4 linked regions of the Saccharomyces cerevisiae S288C genome follow. The gene in region 2 interacts genetically with the main gene of each other region. Each region holds a gene or a part of one and is shown on either strand. Other genes may lie near its edges. The genes, in order: VPS8, VPS64, ATG23 and OAR1.

Evidence for each region.
Region 1: mutations in VPS64 (region 2) and VPS8 together harm fitness more than expected from each alone (negative genetic interaction), as found in Saccharomyces cerevisiae (4 studies listed by BioGRID).
Region 3: mutations in VPS64 (region 2) and ATG23 together harm fitness more than expected from each alone (negative genetic interaction), as found in Saccharomyces cerevisiae (2 studies listed by BioGRID).
Region 4: mutations in VPS64 (region 2) and OAR1 together harm fitness more than expected from each alone (negative genetic interaction), as found in Saccharomyces cerevisiae (2 studies listed by BioGRID).

Annotation. Positions count from the first base shown.
Region 1 is NC_001133.9:141,534-148,031, reverse strand, and holds VPS8 (CORVET complex membrane-binding subunit VPS8), read right to left. Parts: upstream 4,326-6,498; coding exon 501-4,325; downstream 1-500. Other genes in the region: transcription factor TFIIIC subunit TFC3, read left to right, coding at 1-438; EFB1 (translation elongation factor 1 subunit beta), read right to left, coding at 4,872-5,412, 5,779-5,858. UniProt on the Saccharomyces cerevisiae protein: Required for localization and recycling of the CPY sorting receptor (VPS10) to the late-Golgi compartment. Involved in the retention of proteins to the late-Golgi. Plays an integral role in the complex vacuolar protein sorting process.
Region 2 is NC_001136.10:851,596-857,750, reverse strand, and holds VPS64 (Vps64p), read left to right. Parts: upstream 1-1,657; coding exon 1,658-3,472; downstream 3,473-6,155. Other genes in the region: RAV2 (Rav2p), read left to right, coding at 1-853; SPC19 (Spc19p), read right to left, coding at 937-1,434; RKM2 (protein-lysine N-methyltransferase), read left to right, coding at 3,779-5,218; CBS2 (Cbs2p), read right to left, coding at 5,354-6,155. UniProt on the Saccharomyces cerevisiae protein: Participates in the control of the reentry into the cell cycle following pheromone treatment. Involved in vacuolar protein sorting.
Region 3 is NC_001144.5:997,519-1,003,606, forward strand, and holds ATG23 (Atg23p), read right to left. Parts: upstream 4,186-6,088; coding exon 2,824-4,185; downstream 1-2,823. Other genes in the region: DNA/RNA helicase SEN1, read left to right, coding at 1-2,611; IMP dehydrogenase IMD3, read left to right, coding at 5,039-6,088. UniProt on the Saccharomyces cerevisiae protein: Required for cytoplasm to vacuole transport (Cvt) vesicle formation and efficient autophagy. Plays a role in ATG protein retrieval from the pre-autophagosomal structure (PAS) and is especially required for autophagy-dependent cycling of ATG9.
Region 4 is NC_001143.9:333,853-339,237, reverse strand, and holds OAR1 (3-oxoacyl-[acyl-carrier-protein] reductase (NADPH)), read left to right. Parts: upstream 1-3,080; coding exon 3,081-3,917; downstream 3,918-5,385. Other genes in the region: MDM35 (Mdm35p), read left to right, coding at 1-56; DNA damage-responsive RNA polymerase-degradation factor DEF1, read left to right, coding at 485-2,701; TMA19 (Tma19p), read left to right, coding at 4,323-4,826; NUP120 (Nup120p), read left to right, coding at 5,269-5,385. UniProt on the Saccharomyces cerevisiae protein: Involved in biosynthesis of fatty acids in mitochondria.

The sequences.
Region 1 (6,498 bases), on a different chromosome or scaffold from region 2:
GGAGAGCTATTGAATATGGATGTAATTCCAATGGTGAGAAATGTTCGACCTTTAACGTATACTTCAAGGAGATTTGAAATACGAACATTAACTCCCCCTCTGATTATATATGCCAATTCTCAGACAAAATTGAATACAGCAAGGAAGTCTGCTGTCAAAGTTCCACTGGGCAAACCATTTTCTCGTTTATGGGTGAATGGATCTGGTTCCATTAGGCCAAACATATGGAAGCAGGTAGTTACTATGGTCGTTAACGAAATAATATTTCATCCAGGGATAACATTGAGTAGATTGCAATCTAGGTGTCGTGAAGTACTTTCGCTTCATGAAATATCAGAAATATGCAAATGGCTCCTAGAAAGACAAGTATTAATAACTACTGATTTTGATGGCTATTGGGTCAATCATAATTGGTATTCTATATATGAATCTACATAATGAAATGAGGTGTATAAATTTTACTTTTATGTAACCAAAGTTGTATTAAATATTTAGAAATGTTATACTATTTTTGGGTTAGATTCCGTCTGGCAAATTAAACAAGAATATTCATCGGGTTTCTGGGCCAAGTTTTCGAGGCAAGTCTGGTGAAAGCCATGGTGACATTTGAATATGACAAGGGGAGTTTTGAGATCTACACTAATCATATCTTGGTGGCGCTGTACATTTTCCCAAGCTAGAAAAAGTAATGGGTCCAGACCAGCTCCCCATATTTTTTTCCCGCAGATTTCGCAGTCGTCGGTGTGTATAGACCACCCTTCACTCAGAAATTTTCTATACTGTTGAACAAGATCTTGCGAAGAATCCTCTATAATCTTTTGAATCAACTCAGAAAGAGATCTTTCCAATTTATAAGTATTAAAAACATTCAGTAGCAGTTGCTTTAAATCCTGAACTTTCATTAAAATAACGTCTTGGTGCTCAAGAACAGAAGACATTATTTCCCAGAATTCCCCACCTGAATCCTTCTGAGAGGAACTCTTGGACCTAACCAATCCCAAAAATGCTTCTTGAAGTAGTTTATTACATAAATCTTTCCTTTCATCGTGTGAAGGATATTTCCCATATAGAGTGATCAGGAATGTAATCAATAATATCCAACACGATTTTTTCTCGGTACCAGCAGAATTACAATCATCAAAGGCCCTCCTCAAAGATTCCAATAAAGTAGATATATTTGTTTTCCCTTCATTTAGACATTGTTCAATAAAACTTAATAAATCCCTGACTGCTAGGTTAAAACTTTCCAAGCGTTCGTGAATTATAGCTGCAGCTTCAAAATTAGAGTCTTGATTCAATAAGTCCAGAATTTGTAAGCTCTCAGCGTTGCTGAGAACTGTACCATTAAGCCAAAGAATCATTTCCCTTTTGCTCTTGTATTTACAGTTCAATTCGATGTGTAAATTTCTTAAACGCTTATCGACCTTATTGTTGATATTTGGCGTAGAAAAAAGCTTATCCAAATACTTTTGCTGAGTCTCCTCATTCTTTACTTCCAGGATTTCTTGATGAAGATTATAGTCAAAGTCAGAAAAAATTGTGACGCATTTTTCGATACCGATCCTTGAGAGAAGAAGATCAAAGTTCGTCTCGATAACTTCAGTAACTTTGCCACATTCTAAACTTCCAGGTGGGCATTTTTTGAGTATGTAGTCGGTTATGGATACAATGTCCGTGTTATATTCTTTTTCGATGTCCTTAGTTTCTAAAATAAGTGAAAGCGCACTGGCGTACTTATTTTCACTTTTATAGATATGGAAAAGAACTTTATTGAAATTTTTTTCTTTTAGTTCCAGTATAAAATTTTCTGTTGTTCTTGAATGATAATAGGGTAAAAGCGACTCCAGAGCTATTTGAGAAATTTCATATATACCTTGAACCCTAGAGGAGCATATGGTATTAACAACGCAGTCGAGGGCTTGGTTAGACACTTTAATAAATTGAGGATATTTTGATATACTAGTTGCAATGAAAATTGCAACAAGTACCCTGATGTTGTCTGAATTTCCCGTATCTTTCATAGCATCCAATAGTAGATCAATAACATATTGCCTACTTACCAATTCTGCTTCTCCAACTGATGCAACCATGTCATTGTCATCGTTAAACAAGGACGCTTCAAACACTTCATTGAGCATTGCTAAGAACCTACTCGGATTCGATTTCAATAAAAGGTGAAAGTAAGGAAATGCTGGCTCTTCTTCTGGATTTTCGCATATGTAAAGTTTATGATTGCTGTTCGACGGCCATTTTATGGAGAAGCCACTAAAAATAAATGCTGAAAGTTCCCTTTGTATTTTGGAGCATTTATCACTTGGTGATATAGACAAGTTTTGTGGATATTGCCTGCCAGTAAGGATATACGTTACGTAATCAAATATAGTCGTTTCAGGAGGTACTTGAGGACCATTGAAGATCACACATTTTTCACTTTGGTTAGAAATCCTGTATATCAAGTCCACCACTGGGGTTTGATAATCATCAAAGATCTTGTTCCAAATATATATTAATAAATCGAACAAATTATACTTTTGGCATAGTTTGACGGCAAGATCAACATCAAGCGTAGTAGGATTTAACATGATGATTAAGTCTTCAATTACTTTTAAATTCTCCTCCTTAGCATAGTAATCAATTATGGACCTGAAAAGAACTGGGGAAATTGACGTAACTGATCCTTGGGCAACAATATTTGCTACAACTTCAAAATATACCGCGTTGTCCTTCAATTCAAAGAACTCCAGACCCTGTTCCAAAAAGACGTCTAGAGAAGGAATTGAGTCTAGTTTTTTGGAAGATTGCTGCAAAACACGAACAACTACCATTAATAATTGGTAAACCCTATTGTAGTCGGCATTATCTTTTTTTATAAGAAACCTTAGGGCAGCCAAGGACAGATTGTAAAATGGTTCCATAAGTTGCTTAGTCCTCTCTTCCGTATTATTATCTAGCTTCAACAAGTTTGCCAGTGGACAGTAAGGTTGCAAAAGTGATTCTATGAACTCCAATGCACCCAAGTAGTCGCCTTTCAAAATATGTCTTAAAGTAATATCTGACCAAGACACAAATTTGCCAATTTTAAATGAGTAGTTTGTTAACAGGTAGAAACTTCTTCTACTTATTACAAAATATTTATTAGGTGGGATCATCAAATCGTGAATCAGAAAATCCAATCTTAACAGGATCTTGAAGTCATGTTGGGGGTGCAATACCAAAAATTGGTGCGATATGGTTAAAACACCAAGTAGGAGCTGGTCAATCCATTGAATGGATAATATAGATTCTGCAAATTCAGGAGAATGGCTAGCGGACTGAACATTGAAGTCTGATGAAGATATGGAAATAACAGAAATTTTATTATTTACGGAATAAGCAACCCTGGAACAGTTTTGAGTCCATGAAATAGAGCTATTCACGACTAGAGAATTTTGTACTGAGGGTTCAACAGTTTCTTGAAACATCAAAGAAACGTGTGGCGATAATAAAATAAGGGCAAAATGTGTAGTTGTGAGTACACTCAACAAATTAGTGGAAATTTTCTCCCGTGATATTAGTGGAGACAACTTTGACCTTATTAATTTCTCCTTGGAAGAGTTCACATCTAAAATTTTTTTTGAATTATACACCAACTGCCAAAAGCCTCTTCTGTAACCGTTATAGAGTGATACTTTACCTGTCCTATCACTAACAATCAGGGCTGTATGCCGAGCACCAAAAAAGTCTAACCCTGTGATTTCCTTGTTCACATGGTCATCGATGTGTAAGACTGCCGGTAAGGCAGGCGTTGGGGTCATACCATTTGTTGGTTCAGAAGTGGGTTTCACTCTATACCCTACGTTCAAGTTCCAAATGCATATATTTCCGGTCTCGTATGAGGCAGCTACATGAGTACCATCGGAACATATGACAATTGATTTCACTGGACTTCTTATTGAGTGAATAGAAGGGTCCTCAGATAAGGTCGGCACTAGGATTGTCTGCAAATGTTCATTATAATTAAAAATGAGTACGCATCCTTTAGAAGTGCCCATCAAAAAATACGTGGCTGTCGGATACAAGCACGTGGGCCCTCCATAAGCACCCAGGATGGAATATACGTGTGTTAAAGTTGTCCATGAGACTACGGATTCGGAGCCTTGTGACACTGCAGAAGCTACCCCTTTAGGACCATCTTCGTTCAGGGGAGGTGCCGTATATGAAGAACTAGATGCCAGTTTTTCACTTAATTGGGTATACGATCTAAATTCTAGGAAAGTCTTTTGAGTGTCATTAATAGTCGTATCGATGCTAGATCTGCTGTCGTGGTCAAGGCCATTTTGCTCCATTCTAGGTGTAATGAGTAATGGTCTCGGCAGATATATATTTTACACTTATTAAGCCTTTGTATGTATTGGTAATAACTGTCCTTTTTCACGCAGGTATATCATCGTAACCAGAGGTTCCCTTTTTTTTTTTTCCACAGGAAACTCACGTTTTGATTATATGTCTTTCTCGTTTTTGCCATGTTAAGCTACGAATAATGAAATTTTCCTTTTCTTCTAATCGTGAAAAAGTTATCCACCATAACTCCCTACACCGCGTATTTTCGACAAGATATTATGAGTATGTGTATTTAAGAATATGAAAAGAGATATACATAACTTGAATATTCCCGGAATAAATTCAATTAATAAACACGATTCCTTATATAGTGGTTACACAAATTAGTAATAATGTTTCGTGTGCAGTCGAAAAGTTTATCGTTCAAAATTCCTTCTGTTTTTTTTAGCCTAAAACCTAAGTTATTTCGTTGTTTTTTTCATTTATTTGTTAATCTTTACAATGTTGTTTTTGCTTTAATGTTAATTATAAAAAGTTTATAAAAAAGCCTTTTATAATTTTTGCATAGCAGCAATATCGGTAGATTGGACGTGGTCTTCGTCTTCTTCAATGCTTTGTTGCAAGTCATCCAAGGAAACCTTGTCATCTTCGACAACACAGTTAATTTGCAACTTCTTGATACCGAAACCAATTGGGATAAATTGGTGAGCACCCCAGGTCAAACCTTCCATTTCGATGGCCTTGACGTTAGCAACCATTTCTTCCAAATTGGTTTCATCATCCCATGGCTTGACATCTAGAGTGACAATGGACTTAGCAGCTGGCTTAGCTGGCTTAGCAGCCTTCTTAGCGTTGTATGCGGCAATTCTTTCAGCCTTCAACTTTTCAGCTTCAGCGTCAGCTTCTTCATCGTCGGAACCGAATAAATCGACATCGTCATCTTCTTCTTCTTCGGCAGCGGCAGCAGAGGCAGCTGGGAAAGAGTCGAATTCATCGGCCTTGGAAGCGATGTGGTTGAACCATCTGGAGAATTCTGGGTAAGCAGATTGGAAAGCCTTGAAGACAGTGACGTCAGCTTGAGAAACAGCAGTACTATTTTAAAAGGAGAAACAAAACATTTTGCTTGTTAGTAATGAGAACTTTTTTCTTGTAATGCAATCTTTAGACTCTGTCTTTCTTTTTTTGAACAAAAAAGGAAAAAAAAATAACAGATAACTAATAATGATACTCTGCTCTGTGCTATCGTCAGATACTGTGATAGTCAACCACATCTCTTTTGTCACTCATATCGGGGGTCTTACTTCCCATCATAAACACGGACCAAAGAATTAAATTCATCATTCACATAAGCGAAAAAAAGTAATCATTATTAGTTAACTTCCCTTTACATGTAACCATAGGAAAAAAAAAAAAGAAAGAAAAACAACGATCTATAAAGTAAACTAAATCGGAACATACCCTTCAATGTATGACTTGTCAGCCAAAGAAGCGTTTAATTGTTTCAAAGTTTCAATCTTGGAGAAATCGGTGGATGCCATTATGTGTGTATATATTCGGTTGGACTCTTCAGTGCTGAAAGGTAGAAAGCATGAGGTAAAAAGATAAAGAGTAGAAGGAAAAAAAAAAGAACCAACTAAATATAGTGGGTAGATAACCTTAAACTATTTATTTAGAGGCGACAATGTGAAAAATTTTTTCTTCAAAGGCTCGGTTGTCGACAAATTGTTACGTTGTGCTTTGATTTCTAAAGCGCTTCTTCACCTGCAGGTTCTGAGCCCTAAGAAAAAAAATTTCCTTGGTTGAAAATGGCGGAAAAAAAAAATTCAGAAAAAGAAATAAAGCACGTGTGCGCGGTGTGTGGATGATGGTTTCATCATTGTCAACGGCATTTTCGTTCTTGTGGATTGTTGTAAACTTTCCAGAACATTCTAGAAAGAAAGCACACGGAACGTTTAGAAGCTGTCATTTGCGTTTTTTCTCCAGATTTTAGTTGAGAAAGTAATTAAATTATTCTTCTTTTTCCAGAACGTTCCATCGGCGGCAAAAGGGAGAGAAAGAACCCAAAAAGAAGGGGGGCCATTTAGATTAGCTGATCGTTTCGAGGACTTCAAGGTTATATAAGGGGTGGATTGATGTATCTTCGAGAAGGGATTGAGTTGTAGTTTCGTTTCCCAATTC
Region 2 (6,155 bases):
CAACGAAAGTAACAAACAAAACGACTCTCCGACGGTAAAGGGTGTTATCACAAGACAAGGCCAATACATTGTTGACTTTCACATTGTTGTCAGATTCCCACAATTTCAAAGGGGTAAACAAGTTATGTTCCGAATGAATACGGGACTGAATTTCTTACTTATTCAATTCAGTAAGATAATGACGCACTTGAAAAATATTTTGGAAATACTGAATCAACTTCAAGTAGCTACAGATGTCAGCGAATTCGTATCCAAATTTGGCGTGGCCATGGAACTTTTGAACCATTCTCTAATACTTTTACAAAATCCTCCTAGAGACCTGGTATTCCCAGAAGATAACAACTTTGCTATGAAGGAAATGTTCCAGGATTGTTACTCAGTCTGCGAATCCACAGCTCACATCCTAGGACTGGAACTTACGCTTTGTAGGAATGAGCTTTGCATAGAACTACGAAATCTAATTAAGGTGACTAAAAAACCTTGGTGCGAGATTGATAGTAAAACTGGCAGGTCATTTTGCGACCAAATAAGAAATCAAGTGACAAATGAAAGAAACAAAACTTTATCTAAGATCCTCTCAGAAAACGGTGTACAAGTCCAGGATTCCACATTACTTAACCACATAATTTCTTCTTTTCAAAGTGAAGCTATAACACTTCCAGAAGCTCAGGAATTATTAAGAAGGGGCGTTACTTTCGATAATAGGGTAGTCATGGAATGTGAAAAGTTAATAGTATCTACAAGTGATCCAACTTTGATCAGTATAAGCGCCAAATTGAACAGTCTCAAAGCTTCGATGGCGAACCATCAAGCAAATTTGGTAGCTAGCAAACAGTTAAGTACATATAAGTAATCTACTAGCGATAACATTAACAATAATTTATAATACAAACTGGATAAAGAGATAAATGGATGCTTTAAAAAATAAACTTCTAACTATTTCTGTTTGAGTATTTCCAACTTATTCTCCAGTTGCTTCTTCTTTTCCTTTAGTTTCTTCAATTCTTCCAATTCCTCATTAGTAGAAGATGCCATCATAACCACGTCGTCCGCGTCTCTGCCTTCGTATTCTTGACCCATGTCTGGACTATTCAGAGCATCATCGTCATCCATACTAATGTTCTTCTTTAGCCTTAAATCGTTTAATTCATAAGTTTGCTGCAAAGTATCGAGTTCCCTTTGCATTCTACCCATAGATTTACGTAACTTATCGCCCAGAGTCCTAACCAGCGGTTCTACCTCTTCAATCAAATCTAATTTTGATCTTTCAACATCATATTCGGGAACTAAACGGAAAACCCTTTTGGTTTGCAACATTGTCGATGCAAGGTTCGTGCTTGGCTCATTTGCACATTTTAAAGACTCCACAGAATCCTTCAATACTGAAACTGTTCCCTCCAACGCAAGGACGCTCTGTTCCAAAGCATCTGTCATGGTTATTTTGCCTATCCTTCAATTCGTACACAGATATATGCGTCTGTGATCTGTTTATTATTCATTTTCATTGTTGCTAACTACTACGCCCTGTGAAAACAAACTTTATAATCGCCAATAATAAATACATAATGAAAGTAAATCGCAATCCGGACCCCACGGATAGTCACCAGTCTCACCAACTGGAAATTAGAAGGAAGGAAGACAACTGTAAATTCTTGGCATGGTAGAACTGGAAAAAAGAAGACGGCCCCCTCCGCAACTGCAACATTCTCCCTATGTTAGGGATCAATCGAATTCGCAGGGAATGACAAAGACGCCAGAAACGTCACCGCCTAAGAGGCCCATGGGAAGAGCTAGATCAAACTCGAGAAGCAGTGGATCCCGTTCAAATGTCGATATAGATCAGTATACCATACCACCAGGCTTAGATTTGTTGCCTACCGCTTCATCTCCACCTTCCGTCCATCAAGTTTCACAACAGCAACAATTATCCCCAATATTAGCCAACAAAATCCGTTCTCCATTTGAAAATCAAAGTCAGGATCAAAATGACAATTCAATAGACCCAACACCGGCTGGACAAGTAACAATTCCTGTAGAAGCCGTATCTCCACCGGCACTGGACGAATTATCGAAATTCCAAAATGGTTCAACTGAGACATTATTTAGAACTGGATCACCCCGTAAGAAGCATACACATATTATTATACTCAAATCCTTAAATGCAACTTTTGAGACCAAGTTTCTTGTTGTACCATTTAAACCTGACGGACTTAAATTAGGTCGACCAGTTACCAATAGCGTAAACAAGAATAATTCAGGATCGAAAAGAGATTTATTTTCGCAACAAGTTAGACCAGATAACGGAAATTTTGACTCAAGAGTTCTTTCCAGAAATCACGCTTGTCTCAGTTGTGATCCTACATCAGGAAAGATATATATTCGCGATCTAAAGTCCAGCAATGGGACATTTGTTAATGGGGTTAAAATACGCCAAAATGATGTAGAATTAAAAGTTGGTGATACTGTGGATTTGGGAACTGATATTGACTCAAAGTTTGAACATAGAAAAATCAGTGCGTATGTGGAAGAGATTTCAGTAATTCCCTTAATGAACACTGTATCTGATCCCACAAATTTGGTGATGAAAAAACAAGATCATACTAATAAGAATAATGGGAACTCCACTAATATAAACGGAATAAAGATAGACAGAGGTCATCATAATCAACACATTCCAATACGATCTCATTTAAAGGAAAATTATACCGAAGCTGGTGTAACATCTGCAACAACGGCTCAAAGGGCAGCCTTTGAGGCAGCTATGTTTGGAGATATTAATAACTCAGAATTAGATGATGATATTTTAGGTCCAGAAACTGAGGTTCTCAGTGGAATTTTTATCAACAATTCAGCAGGTACAAGCATAAATTTGATAAATATGATAAAAACTTTGACTACTGAGCTGTCCTTAGAAAAACAAGAGCTGGAAAAATTACATTCCATGCAAAACTTTATGCAAAACTATACGATAAACCTTGATTTCATCAATAAGCACATGATTGATATGAATGAAAAGCATTTACTGAAACTGAGCACGGCTTTACAAAAAACTCTATCAGAAAATAATGATGCGCTACTCAAAGAATCGGAAGATCAATTAAAAGAAATCAAACAACAAAATAATAAAGTAAAATCTGCATGTAGCTTGAAGGAAAAACAAAACCATGAAAAGCTACAGGAGCTCGAAAGTGAATTAAGAGAGCTGAACCTTCAAATAGAAGAAGAGAGGGGAAAAAATTTAGTTTTAACACAAAGCAATTTTAATGGTGGTATTAACAATGACAATAACGCTAAAGTAAAACAAAATGATTCAAGAGAAGAAAAAAAGGATACCGAAGATACATTAATAAGCACTGAAGAACTAGGAGTCGTCGAAGGCAAGAGAACAAGAGTTAGTAAGGGAATGCTCTTTGGAGTAGTTGCCATTTCATTCGGTTTAGTTGCGACGGCCGTTAAGCAATTGCCACAATAACTCGAAAGAAGAAAAATACTACAAGCATAATCTACAAAGCAAAAACAGGGCTTGTCCTGTAGAAATGAGAAAAACCATATATTATAAATAAGCACATATTCCATATACTTTGAATATTGTTTTGCAATTCTGATCCACACTCTTTTTTTTCATTTTTTCAAGATTTCTTGATTAAGTAAAATTAAAAAAAAATTCGGGAACTCAAGCTAAAACTGGATGCGTCTACTCATCACCTATAGTCTCAAGATTGTCGAAGATACAGATTTTGAATAAATATCTACAAAAAAGTTACATAGTAAATTGCGAATGGAAGGAAAGGTTGATGTCTTGCTAACATGGCTGAAAAAATCAGATAAGTTTTATATAGCACCAAACATCAGCATCTGTGAATCGCCAGAAACTGGCAGAGGGATCGTCCTCAGTCACGGTTCGATAAGAAAAAACGATATCATTGTATCAGTACCGAGCTCGAAGCAACTAAATTTTCACACTATCCTCTATCATATTTCAAAGTTTAATAAAGAGCTGAATATTCCTGGTATCACAATCGATAGAAAGCCAATCAATTATGAGGACAATATTATTGAAGCGGAAAATAAAGCCTGGGCCGATCCTAGATATGGATTATATTCCGAATTATCGAAAGAGTTTTTGTTAAGTTTATCATCATTTCAATTGGTATCATTTTATATATTGGTTGAAAATTTTCTATTGCCAAAATGGACTCACAATGAAATCTACTCAGATTGGAAACCATTCTTTGATGTATGGCCCTCAATGGAGGAGCTGCGATCAATCCCAGCCATTTGGAACTGTGATCCCAATTCACGTTACCATTCACTGATTGAATATCTCCCTGCTGCCTCACGAAAGCATATGGCAAGAATTAGTGGCCTTGTCAGAGAAGATTGGGAAACCATTTCAGAGGTGGTTTTGAAATGGAATGAAATTTACGGCTCCTTAAGCTGTACGAAAAATTCTGATAAATTTACTAGTGATGAGTTATTCTCCCTTTTTGTACATGTTTATTTTATTATAAACTCAAGATGTCTTTATGCGAAGATTCCGTTGAAAATAGAGGACTCCCCAAGCAATTTCACTTTAGTGCCGTATGTCGATTTCATGAACCACATTTGTGAGTCGGATTTGCACTGCTATCCTCAGTTAAGTCCTCAGTTGAGGTCAGAAGGAGAAAACATCATTGGAATTGGACAATTTACCATTAGATGCGGCGATCACCTCTATGACAACATTAACGAGGAGCTCTTTTTGAATTATGGTGCACACTCAAATGATTTTTTACTGAACGAGTATGGATTTGTGGTAGACGGAAACAAATGGAACTACTTAGACATATCTGACGAAATTATTGAACTAATAGACGACGACAAAAAGGAGGTAAAAACGTTTCTATTGGAACATGATTATTGGGGAGATTACACTATCAATGAGACTGATATCAGTTATAGGATATTCGTAGCATTGAACTATTATGTGACGAGGGATGAAAGGAGGGTTCGAAAATTCATTGAAGGTTACATATCAGAAGATTACTTCAAGCCAAAAATCTCTTCAGTTTTAAAAGAATTATTGGTCTCCTTAACTGCAAAATATACAAAGACGCTTAGCGAGTTGACAGAAAAAGTATCTAATCTTGAGAATAACCTCTGCTTACAAAACTTAATTACCATATACAAAGGGTATATAAAAATACTTACACAACACTTACAAGACCTGCAATCATAGGTATTTGTAAAGTCCAAGAAATAACTTTAAATTCGGAAGTGCCAGTGCCCATGCTTCTCTTCGCAAGTACATGTGCGCAGCAGCCATTCATATATGAAAATTTAGGAATATCTATTGTATATACATGAAATTTCTTCACAGGTAATGATAATCTAGTGCTTTTTGCTTAGTAATAAACTGTTTCCCTTTTATTAAAGTCAGAAGTATATCATTCCACTTGCAGTTACATTTTTTGTACTTACCAAGAGAAACAAAAAATCCGTTAAGTTCATTAATGTTCGTTTGATTCAATTGATTTAAAGATTGGGCCAACTTAGCGCGCTTGTGCCCATTAACTTCTAGATCTCTCATCACCAAGCTAAATATTCTCTCCTTGTCAAAGATTACAGAATAGTTTGGGTTGGTGTTTAGTGACGGGTAGGATCGATCGATAATTGACAGCTGCTCACTAATCAACTTTTTTATTATATCTTGTGCTCCGGGGATTTTCAAAAGTTCCTTTTTATATACGCAATCATATACTGCCAATAATGGCTCGGTACAACTCTCCAATATCAATTTCTCCAGTTCAGTGAAGAACAAATCCTGGAAACCATGAACATGCAGATCAAAACTAACTAGATCGGAACCTATTCCAGATCGTAGCCTGGAAATTTCTCTAAACAACTTATAAAACGCATTATTTTCTTTTTCATTTTTCTGCCTGTCACCTCTTAGAGAAAGACTCGCACTTTTACCAGTACTACTCATTCGAGGAAAACCATCAATCTTTGCAATATGAAATTGTATCCTTCCTTTCACTTTGAGAGACAGTTGAAATTCTTGATGTATGGTCCCAACGTCAACTGGTGTTGTAAAGCCCATGAACAAGTTTGGTCTTGCCTCATCAAAGCGCCATCGATATCTATGCAAATGTTCCAATAGATTTAAGCTTGGA
Region 3 (6,088 bases), on a different chromosome or scaffold from region 2:
TAAAACAAAGACTATACTGGGTATTATTGGTTACTTTTTGTCTACAAAGAATGCCTCATCTTCAAATGTCATCAAAGTGCCACTAGAAAAGAACTCATCGAATACTGAACAACTGTTAAAAAAGCAAAAAATTCTAATCTGTGCCCCCAGTAATGCCGCTGTGGACGAAATCTGCCTCAGACTGAAGAGTGGAGTGTATGACAAGCAGGGGCATCAATTTAAACCTCAATTGGTCCGTGTAGGTAGGTCAGACGTTGTAAACGTTGCAATTAAGGACCTTACTTTAGAAGAACTTGTGGATAAAAGGATAGGTGAAAGGAATTACGAAATCAGAACAGATCCGGAACTAGAACGTAAATTTAATAATGCTGTGACTAAAAGAAGAGAATTGAGAGGAAAATTAGACTCTGAGAGTGGTAATCCAGAAAGTCCAATGTCAACCGAAGATATCAGTAAATTACAACTTAAGATTAGGGAGCTAAGTAAAATAATCAATGAACTTGGCCGTGATAGGGACGAAATGCGTGAGAAGAATTCCGTAAATTATAGGAATAGGGATTTGGATAGAAGGAATGCACAGGCCCATATCTTGGCGGTTAGTGACATCATATGTTCGACTTTATCTGGTTCAGCCCATGATGTACTCGCAACAATGGGTATTAAATTTGATACGGTCATTATAGATGAAGCATGTCAATGTACCGAACTTTCTTCAATTATTCCTCTCAGGTATGGAGGGAAGCGTTGTATTATGGTTGGTGATCCTAACCAACTACCACCAACTGTTCTTTCAGGTGCAGCAAGCAATTTTAAATACAATCAGTCACTGTTCGTTAGAATGGAGAAAAATAGCTCCCCATACTTGCTGGATGTTCAATACCGTATGCATCCTTCCATCAGTAAATTCCCCTCTTCTGAATTTTATCAGGGACGACTAAAAGACGGCCCTGGTATGGATATCTTGAACAAAAGACCCTGGCACCAGCTTGAGCCATTAGCTCCCTACAAATTTTTTGACATCATTAGTGGTAGGCAAGAACAAAATGCGAAGACTATGTCTTATACAAATATGGAGGAAATACGTGTTGCCATTGAGTTAGTTGACTACCTTTTCAGAAAATTCGATAATAAAATTGATTTCACGGGAAAAATCGGTATAATTTCACCTTATAGAGAGCAAATGCAAAAAATGCGTAAAGAGTTTGCCCGCTATTTTGGAGGCATGATCAACAAATCAATCGATTTCAATACAATCGACGGTTTCCAAGGTCAAGAAAAAGAAATCATCTTGATATCGTGTGTCCGTGCCGATGATACGAAATCTAGTGTCGGTTTTTTAAAGGACTTTCGTCGTATGAATGTGGCTCTGACTAGAGCCAAGACAAGTATTTGGGTTTTGGGACATCAAAGGTCTCTGGCTAAAAGCAAGTTATGGAGAGATTTGATTGAAGATGCAAAAGATAGAAGTTGTCTTGCATATGCTTGCTCGGGTTTCCTGGATCCCAGAAATAATAGAGCTCAAAGTATTTTAAGAAAGTTCAATGTACCCGTACCATCAGAGCAAGAAGATGATTATAAGCTACCCATGGAATATATTACGCAAGGCCCCGATGAGGTAAAATCCAATAAGGACACAAAGAAGAGAAGAGTTGTCGATGAAGGTGAAGAGGCAGATAAAGCTGTAAAGAAAAAGAAGAAAGAGAAGAAGAAGGAAAAGAAAAAGTCCAAGGCAGATGATAAGAAAAAGAATAACAAGAAGGCAGAATCGCCCAGCACCTCATCTGGTACAAAGAAAAAGTCATCCATTTTTGGTGGAATGAGTGTACCGAGTGCCGTAGTTCCTAAAACTTTTCCTGATGTGGACAGCAACAAAAAGGCAGCAGCAGTTGTTGGTAAAAAGAAAAATAACAAACACGTTTGTTTTTCGGATGATGTTAGTTTCATACCAAGAAATGACGAACCTGAAATTAAAGTGACCAGAAGTTTATCCTCTGTATTGAAGGAAAAGCAGTTAGGTTTGAAGGAGACGAGAACAATTTCTCCGCCTGAAATCAGTAATAATGAGGATGATGATGACGAAGATGATTATACGCCGTCAATCTCCGATTCTTCATTAATGAAAAGTGAAGCAAATGGTCGTAACAACAGGGTGGCTTCTCATAACCAAAATTTCAGCGCTAGTATATACGACGATCCACAAGTTTCGCAAGCAAAGCAGACGCAGGTACCTGCTGCTATTACAAAACACAGAAGTTCAAATAGTGTTTTATCCGGTGGTTCTTCGAGGATCCTGACTGCTTCCGATTACGGTGAACCCAATCAAAATGGACAGAATGGAGCAAATAGGACCCTCTCTCAACATGTGGGTAATGCGAATCAATACTCAACGGCTCCTGTGGGTACAGGCGAACTGCATGAAACTCTGCCCGCCCATCCGCAAGACAGCTATCCTGCTGAGGCAGAAGATCCATATGATTTAAACCCCCATCCGCAACCACAATCTTCAGCATTCAAAGGACCTGGTAGTGGGCCCACAGGCACACGCAACAGTTCGAGACGGAATGCTTCATCTAGCCCATTTATCCCAAAAAAAAGAAAGCCTAGATCATGATCTTGAAGTAAAAGTGTTAGGAATTATACCTGCATATATATTGGTGTATACATTTATATTGAATTTAATAGCAACATTATTTTTCATTATTTTTCATTATTTCAGCAAAAAGAACATTTTTTTTCAATTTGACGTGAAAGAGTTTGACTATTACGTGGGCATACAATGTTTAAATTTACATTATCCTCATGGCTACTCTAGCTATTTGCATTTCATTCAACTTTTTTTGATATGGCATCATTTTTATTAGCGTTTACTACACTTTCAGAAATGCCAATCTTTGGTGGCGATTTGCTAGCAACCAAGAATGAGGGAGTCGAGGGCTGTTTTAAATTTGAACTCGCGTTCGACCCTTTATGGCTTTTGTGTATATCAATTGGTTTAGAAGGTAGTGCGCTTGACCCATCTTGTGCAGTGGTACTTTCGCTATGGAGTTCTTCACAAGCTTTCGAAAGTACGTCCCTTTCGTTTGATATTAAAGTTGTCGTGAGCTTTTCATCAGAAGAGTCAAGAAGGTTATTTAGGTACTGTATTGTAGAATTGATCATTTCTGACATTTCATTTGGAGGTATTTTGGAGTTGCTGCTGCTCCGAAGTTTGGTTATTAATTTGCTTTCCAAATCTCCTACTTTTTTTTGACAATCTAGCCATAATTCACGTTGCGTTAGTACTGTAGAAGACTCATTTTTATTTCTCATTAGTTGCTCTTGTAGATCTTCAATTTTCAGTTCTATGAGATCCTTCATATGAACAAAATTTTTCATGTTGATAGTTTGTCTCTCATTGTAATCTTCATCCGCGCTGGACAGCCTTAAATTGAATATCTTTTCTGATAGTGATTTTTCCTGTGTCAGGGGCGACTCGAATCCTATTCTTTTCATTAATTGATGCTTAGATTCCTCTATCTTGGACAAATGAAAATCAATATTACCCATTTCGGAACGTATCCGTCCAGATTGCCTTTTTAACTCCTCTTCAATGAATTTATTGTCCTTTTTGAAGTCTCTTAATAAAGTTTCCAGCCTTATTATTTCTGATTTAGCTTGCTTATGAGATAATTGTAACAGTTTGTAATTACGTATCATTTGATCCGCAGAAGATTCAGCGTTCTGTACTTCCTCGATCATTGCATCCGAATCATCCGTATTGGATAGTATTGTATTTTCTGCCCCCACTGACTCGATATATTTGTTTAGTGATGTCCGGTGGTGCGATGAAATGGTAATTATGGCGTCCTTATCGATAACATAGTCCGCCGGCGCAGCATCGGTTTCTTGCTTAATATGCCACGACTTCCGCTCTTTCCAAAGAAGCTGCTCTCTTTCGTTCAGTTCTAGTAGCTCTTGTTTGTCTCGAAGTAAGGACCCAATTTCTCTTTTCAATAGACCATCATGGGATACTAAGAGATCATTAATTCTGCATAGATCGTTTAAGCAAATAGTGATATCCTTCCGGATGCTTGTCACCTGGGAAGCCGAATTTACATCAGACAACGCTTTTTCGTGAAGCCCGACCAGAGTGCCTAAGTATTGCAGAATCTGCTCCTTTTTTTCTAAAACCTGATTCAGTTCCATATTTACTTCTTCACTTTATTTTGTTACCTTATAGAACAACGAGGTTAAAATGTGGAACAAGAAAACGAAAATAATCACTTGAACTAAAACGTACTCTATCCTTCACTTTTCCATTCCTTAGCCGGTTCTCCAATAGATATATACAGACGTTCTCTGTGTTCTATTATTTGTATATGATTTACACTATAAAAAGACTATCTATACCTTTTGTTAATTGCGCACCTAAACGCCAGAGCTTACGCCCTTAAATTTTTTGAACATATGCGCTGATACCCTACAAGTTGTCCTAGGGCTAGGATATCGGGAAAAAAGAGACAAGGGAACTTGAAAAACCATAATTCCCAATACATAAACCTGTTACTTGATGGCTAACAAGATGTACTTTTTTCCAGTGACCCAGTGGCTTCTTTAACCACTATTGTGTTCATTTCTAACTCTGGTTAATTACATAAATATTAGCCTTCAAAGCCGCACACGTTTCTTTTTCCGAAAAATGAAAAATTTTTCACTGAAAAAAAAAAAAAAAAAAAGAAGAAATAGAAAGGTATAAATAGTTGAATAATTTGCCCTTCCGAGATCCAACAAGATTTTTGAGTGTTGGGACCCTTGGAGGTTTACTCCAGTTTCGTGGGCTTGTGCATTTTCACCTAGTGTACTGGGAACTTTCTCTTTTTTACTCTATTTCTTTTCTTTCTTGCTTCTATATAACTTAACTTAGAAAGACTTTCTAAACTCGCAGAAAAGCACGTCATCTCATCTGTCTCACTTTTATTCTAAGGAAAAGAAGTCATCGACAGGTTAACAGCAGTAAATATTATCAGTGCAATTAATAACTCCGAAAGTAGTAAAAGCAATGGCCGCCGTTAGAGACTACAAGACTGCCTTGGAATTCGCCAAGAGCTTACCAAGACTAGATGGTTTGTCTGTCCAGGAGTTGATGGACTCCAAGACCAGAGGTGGGTTGACTTATAACGACTTTTTGGTTTTGCCAGGTCTGGTTGATTTCCCATCTTCTGAAGTTAGCCTACAAACTAAGTTGACAAGGAATATCACTTTGAACACCCCATTCGTTTCCTCTCCAATGGACACCGTGACAGAATCAGAAATGGCCATCTTCATGGCTTTGTTGGGTGGTATCGGTTTTATTCACCACAACTGTACCCCAGAGGACCAAGCTGACATGGTCAGAAGAGTCAAGAACTATGAAAATGGGTTTATTAACAACCCTATAGTGATTTCCCCAACTACTACTGTGGGTGAAGCTAAGAGTATGAAGGAAAGATTTGGATTTTCCGGTTTCCCCGTTACAGAAGATGGTAAAAGAAACGGAAAATTGATGGGTATCGTCACTTCTCGTGATATTCAGTTCGTTGAAGACAACTCTTTGCTTGTTCAAGATGTTATGACCAAAAACCCTGTCACCGGTGCACAAGGTATTACATTGTCTGAAGGTAATGAAATTTTAAAGAAGATTAAAAAGGGTAAGCTATTGATTGTTGACGACAATGGTAACTTAGTTTCTATGCTTTCCAGAACTGATTTAATGAAAAATCAGAACTATCCATTGGCTTCTAAATCTGCCACCACCAAGCAACTGTTATGTGGTGCTGCTATCGGTACTATCGATGCTGATAAGGAAAGGTTAAGACTATTAGTCGAAGCAGGTTTGGATGTTGTTATCTTAGATTCCTCTCAAGGTAACTCTATTTTCCAATTGAACATGATCAAATGGATTAAAGAAACTTTCCCAGATTTGGAAATCATTGCTGGTAACGTTGCCACCAGAGAACAAGCTGCTAACTTGATTGCTGCCGGTGCCGATGGTTTAAGAATTGGTATGGGTTCAGGCTCTATTTGTATCACTCAAGAAGTTATGGCCTGTGGTAGACCACAAGGTACAGCC
Region 4 (5,385 bases), on a different chromosome or scaffold from region 2:
CTAGGGAGGAGGCGCCGTTTGAAAATGGCGGCAAACTAAAAGAAGTTGACAAATGAAGTATATATTTTAGCACAGAATGTGCATTATTCAACATGTAAATACTAATACTGCAATATCGACTTATAATAATGTATAGTGATCCGTATATTAATAGATCTGTTTCAATTCTTTACCTTTTTAGGATATCCGTCACCCGTGATTCCGTCGGAGGTGAGCACTCGCCCAAATAAATAACGGGAAATGGTGGCAAAAAGTAGTGGCGGGAAAAGGAAAAATTTTCGTTCTCTCCCATATAAACGTTTCATTCCTTTTCCTAAGTCTTTTACAGTAATTTCAGAAACATTCGTATTTTATATTTGATCTTTTGAAGCTACAAGAAAAACTCTTACCAATTACCCCAAAAAAATCACCATCATAAAGTACTTACATATTTATTTTTGTTTGGTCGTTTTCTCAATATAATCTACATCATCATATATATATAATGTCTACACAATTTAGGAAGTCTAATCATAATAGTCATAGTAGTAAAAAACTAAATCCTGCGCTAAAGTCCAAAATAGATACGCTTACAGAATTGTTCCCTGACTGGACGAGTGATGATTTAATTGATATAGTTCAAGAATATGATGATTTGGAAACTATAATTGATAAAATTACTTCCGGCGCAGTGACAAGATGGGATGAAGTAAAGAAACCTGCTAAGAAGGAAAAATATGAAAAAAAGGAGCAACAACACTCATATGTCCCTCAACAACATTTGCCAAATCCAGAAGATGATATTACATATAAGAGTTCTAATAATAGCAATTCTTTTACTTCTACAAAGCATAACAGTAGTAACAATTATACTCAAGCCAGAAATAAGAAGAAGGTACAAACACCACGAGCTCATACAACCGGGAAACATGTTAATCTCGACAAGGGGAAGCACGTACCATCCAAGCCTGTTTCAAACACTACATCGTGGGCAGCAGCTGTTTCTGTAGATACTAAACATGACGTTCCTCAAGATTCAAATGATAACAATAATGAAGAATTAGAAGCACAAGGGCAACAAGCGCAGGAGAAAAATCAAGAAAAAGAGCAAGAAGAGCAACAACAGCAGGAAGGGCATAATAACAAAGAAGAACACAAACAAATAGAGCAACCTTCTTTATCTTCAAAGAAAACAACTTCTAGGACATCTGCTTCACAACCAAAGAAAATGTCGTGGGCTGCAATTGCTACACCAAAGCCAAAGGCTGTTAAAAAGACCGAGTCTCCTCTTGAAAACGTTGCTGAATTGAAGAAAGAAATAAGCGATATTAAGAAGGATGACCAAAAGTCTGAAGCTAGTGAAGAAAAAGTTAATGAACAAGAAACATCTGCACAAGAACAAGAGGAGGAGACTGCTGAACCTTCTGAAGAAAATGAAGACAGAGTCCCTGAAGTGGACGGAGAAGAAGTCCAAGAAGAAGCTGAAAAAAAGGAACAAGTAAAAGAAGAGGAACAGACAGCGGAAGAGCTGGAACAAGAACAAGATAATGTTGCTGCTCCAGAAGAAGAAGTTACAGTTGTTGAAGAAAAGGTTGAAATTAGTGCTGTTATTTCAGAGCCTCCAGAAGATCAAGCTAATACTGTACCTCAACCACAACAACAATCCCAACAACCACAGCAACCACAGCAACCACAGCAACCACAGCAACCACAGCAACCACAGCAACAACAACAACCACAGCAACCACAACAACCACAACAACAACTACAACAGCAACAGCAACAGCAACAACAACCAGTACAAGCTCAAGCTCAAGCCCAAGAAGAACAATTATCTCAAAACTACTATACTCAACAACAGCAGCAACAATACGCTCAACAACAGCATCAGTTACAGCAACAGTATTTGTCCCAACAACAACAATATGCTCAGCAACAGCAACAGCATCCACAACCTCAATCACAACAACCTCAATCACAGCAAAGTCCACAAAGTCAAAAACAAGGGAACAACGTGGCTGCCCAACAGTACTACATGTATCAAAACCAATTTCCTGGATATTCTTATCCAGGTATGTTTGATTCACAAGGATACGCTTACGGTCAACAATATCAGCAACTTGCTCAAAACAACGCTCAAACTAGTGGTAATGCTAACCAATATAATTTCCAACAAGGTTATGGTCAAGCAGGCGCGAACACTGCTGCTGCTAATTTGACTAGTGCTGCCGCTGCTGCTGCCGCTTCTCCAGCTACAGCTCACGCCCAACCTCAACAACAACAGCCATACGGTGGCTCATTCATGCCATACTACGCCCACTTTTACCAACAGTCATTCCCATATGGTCAACCTCAATACGGTGTAGCTGGTCAATATCCATACCAGTTACCAAAGAACAATTACAACTATTACCAAACTCAAAACGGTCAGGAACAGCAAAGTCCAAATCAAGGTGTTGCCCAGCATTCTGAAGACTCTCAACAGAAGCAATCACAACAGCAACAGCAACAGCAACCTCAAGGTCAACCCCAACCTGAAGTTCAAATGCAAAATGGCCAACCTGTTAACCCACAACAACAAATGCAGTTCCAACAATACTATCAATTCCAACAACAACAGCAACAAGCTGCTGCCGCTGCCGCTGCTGCTGCCCAACAAGGTGTACCATATGGCTACAACGGTTATGATTACAATTCTAAAAATTCAAGAGGTTTCTACTAATAAGGGAGAAGTAGAACCTCCCACATAAAAAACGAAATGGGGAATAAAATACAATGAATTTAAATACACATTTTATTACCACTATTATGTTTTACTTTCTTCAATGTTTGGGCAAGGATTCCATATCCTTTTGATGATGTCATATATCATTTAAATTTTGCATATATATATATACGTACGTAAATAATAAAAGGTATATATATGTTGTGTTATCTATCTAGCTAGCTGTGTCTTTATTTTGCGGGGTTTTGGAAATGCCACTTTTTCTGTTTTATATATCACAGCGTCAAAATTTCCGCCGTTACTGTTTGCAACTGATGAGAACTATGGAATACACATGAGTACATTGGTATAGACGTGGGAGAAGAAAAGTCTGGAAATGCATTATTTGCCTGTTGCGATAGTAACAGGTGCCACTAGGGGTATAGGCAAGGCAATATGTCAAAAGTTATTTCAAAAGGGTTTAAGTTGCATTATACTTGGGTCTACTAAAGAAAGTATAGAGCGCACCGCGATAGATAGAGGCCAATTACAATCGGGATTATCATATCAGCGGCAATGTGCTATAGCAATTGATTTTAAGAAATGGCCTCACTGGCTTGACTATGAGTCATATGACGGTATCGAATATTTCAAAGATAGACCGCCCTTGAAACAGAAATATTCCACATTGTTCGACCCATGTAACAAATGGTCAAATAATGAACGCCGCTACTACGTAAACTTATTGATTAACTGCGCAGGCTTGACTCAAGAATCATTAAGTGTAAGAACCACTGCATCTCAAATTCAGGACATAATGAATGTTAACTTTATGAGCCCTGTGACGATGACAAACATCTGTATTAAGTATATGATGAAGTCGCAAAGGAGATGGCCGGAACTCAGTGGTCAATCTGCTCGACCCACCATCGTAAATATTTCCTCCATTCTACACTCCGGAAAAATGAAGGTTCCAGGTACATCTGTTTACTCCGCCTCTAAAGCCGCACTGTCCAGATTTACAGAAGTTTTAGCTGCAGAAATGGAACCAAGAAACATTAGGTGTTTTACGATATCTCCAGGTTTAGTCAAAGGGACCGATATGATCCAAAATTTGCCAGTGGAGGCTAAAGAAATGCTGGAGAGAACCATTGGGGCAAGCGGTACAAGCGCACCCGCTGAAATAGCGGAAGAAGTCTGGTCTCTATACAGTAGAACTGCTTTGGAGACGTAAAAGAAAATCGAAACAAATAATAGATTTGTGTCTGTTCAATGTGTATATCGATGAGCTCAGTGAACACATTTTCACATCACGTTTCTTTTTTTTCTTTTTTCCGCTAAGAAAAATTTTCCAGAATTTTTCAGAGGCAAAACAAAACTCATCGATTTCGCACGCATTTCTCGTAGAATTGATATTTTTTTATTTTTTTATTGGTTTTTTTTTTTTTTTTCACTTTTTTTTCTTCCTTTCATGATATTTATAAGGAGAAGTATTTCAATTGGGACTTAAAAAAAAATTTTATTTTGGTTAATGTTTTCATTCAATGGTTTACTACTTTCATTTTAGCTTTTTAACAATTTTCTTTCTGGGGTCTCAGTTGCGGTTAGCAGATTAACACAGAACATACTATAGACAAATATGATTATTTACAAGGATATCTTCTCTAACGACGAATTGTTGTCTGATGCTTACGACGCTAAGTTAGTTGATGACGTTATCTACGAAGCCGACTGTGCTATGGTCAATGTCGGAGGTGACAACATCGATATCGGTGCTAACCCATCTGCTGAAGGTGGTGACGATGATGTTGAAGAAGGTGCTGAAATGGTCAACAACGTTGTCCACTCTTTCCGTCTACAACAAACCGCTTTTGACAAGAAGTCCTTCTTGACCTACATTAAGGGTTACATGAAGGCTGTTAAAGCTAAGTTGCAAGAAACTAACCCAGAAGAAGTTCCTAAATTCGAAAAGGGTGCTCAAACTTACGTCAAGAAGGTTATTGGTTCTTTCAAGGACTGGGAGTTCTTCACTGGTGAATCCATGGACCCAGATGCCATGGTTGTCATGTTGAACTACCGTGAAGATGGTACCACTCCATTTGTTGCCATCTGGAAGCACGGTATTGTGGAAGAAAAGATCTAAGTCTAGCGAAATTAGAAAAATTTTCGTATTTTGTATTTGAATTTGAGAGTAGGACTCCCCTTTCTCATTTTTAATGTATATGTAACCTCTCTCTCTTTTTTCTCTGCATCAACTTTTTAGCTTCTATTCTTTGATTCTATAGGTATCTAAACTTCCTAATTACTTCTTAACACGCATTAGGACGTTTTTAATTATTCTATGATTTTATTAAGACACGTTTATCAATTGCCGTAGATATGTATAGTTCATCAATATTTTCTTTTCCATTACCCTACAGAACTTTCATGTTTTTTGTTTTCCTGTCTTTTTCTCCAATTACGTGAAAAAAAAATTGAATTGAAATAGCATGAGAAGCTGAGAAACAAGTAGAAATTGACGAAATCCAACGTTCATAAGCATTTTTCAAGAGGTCGCAATTTCACTCGTACACAACTGACCTATTATGGCATGCCTCTCAAGAATTGATGCAAATTTGCTCCAATATTATGAAAAACCTGAACCCAATAATACGGTTGATTTATACGTCAGTAATAACAGTAATAATAACGGGCTGAAAGAA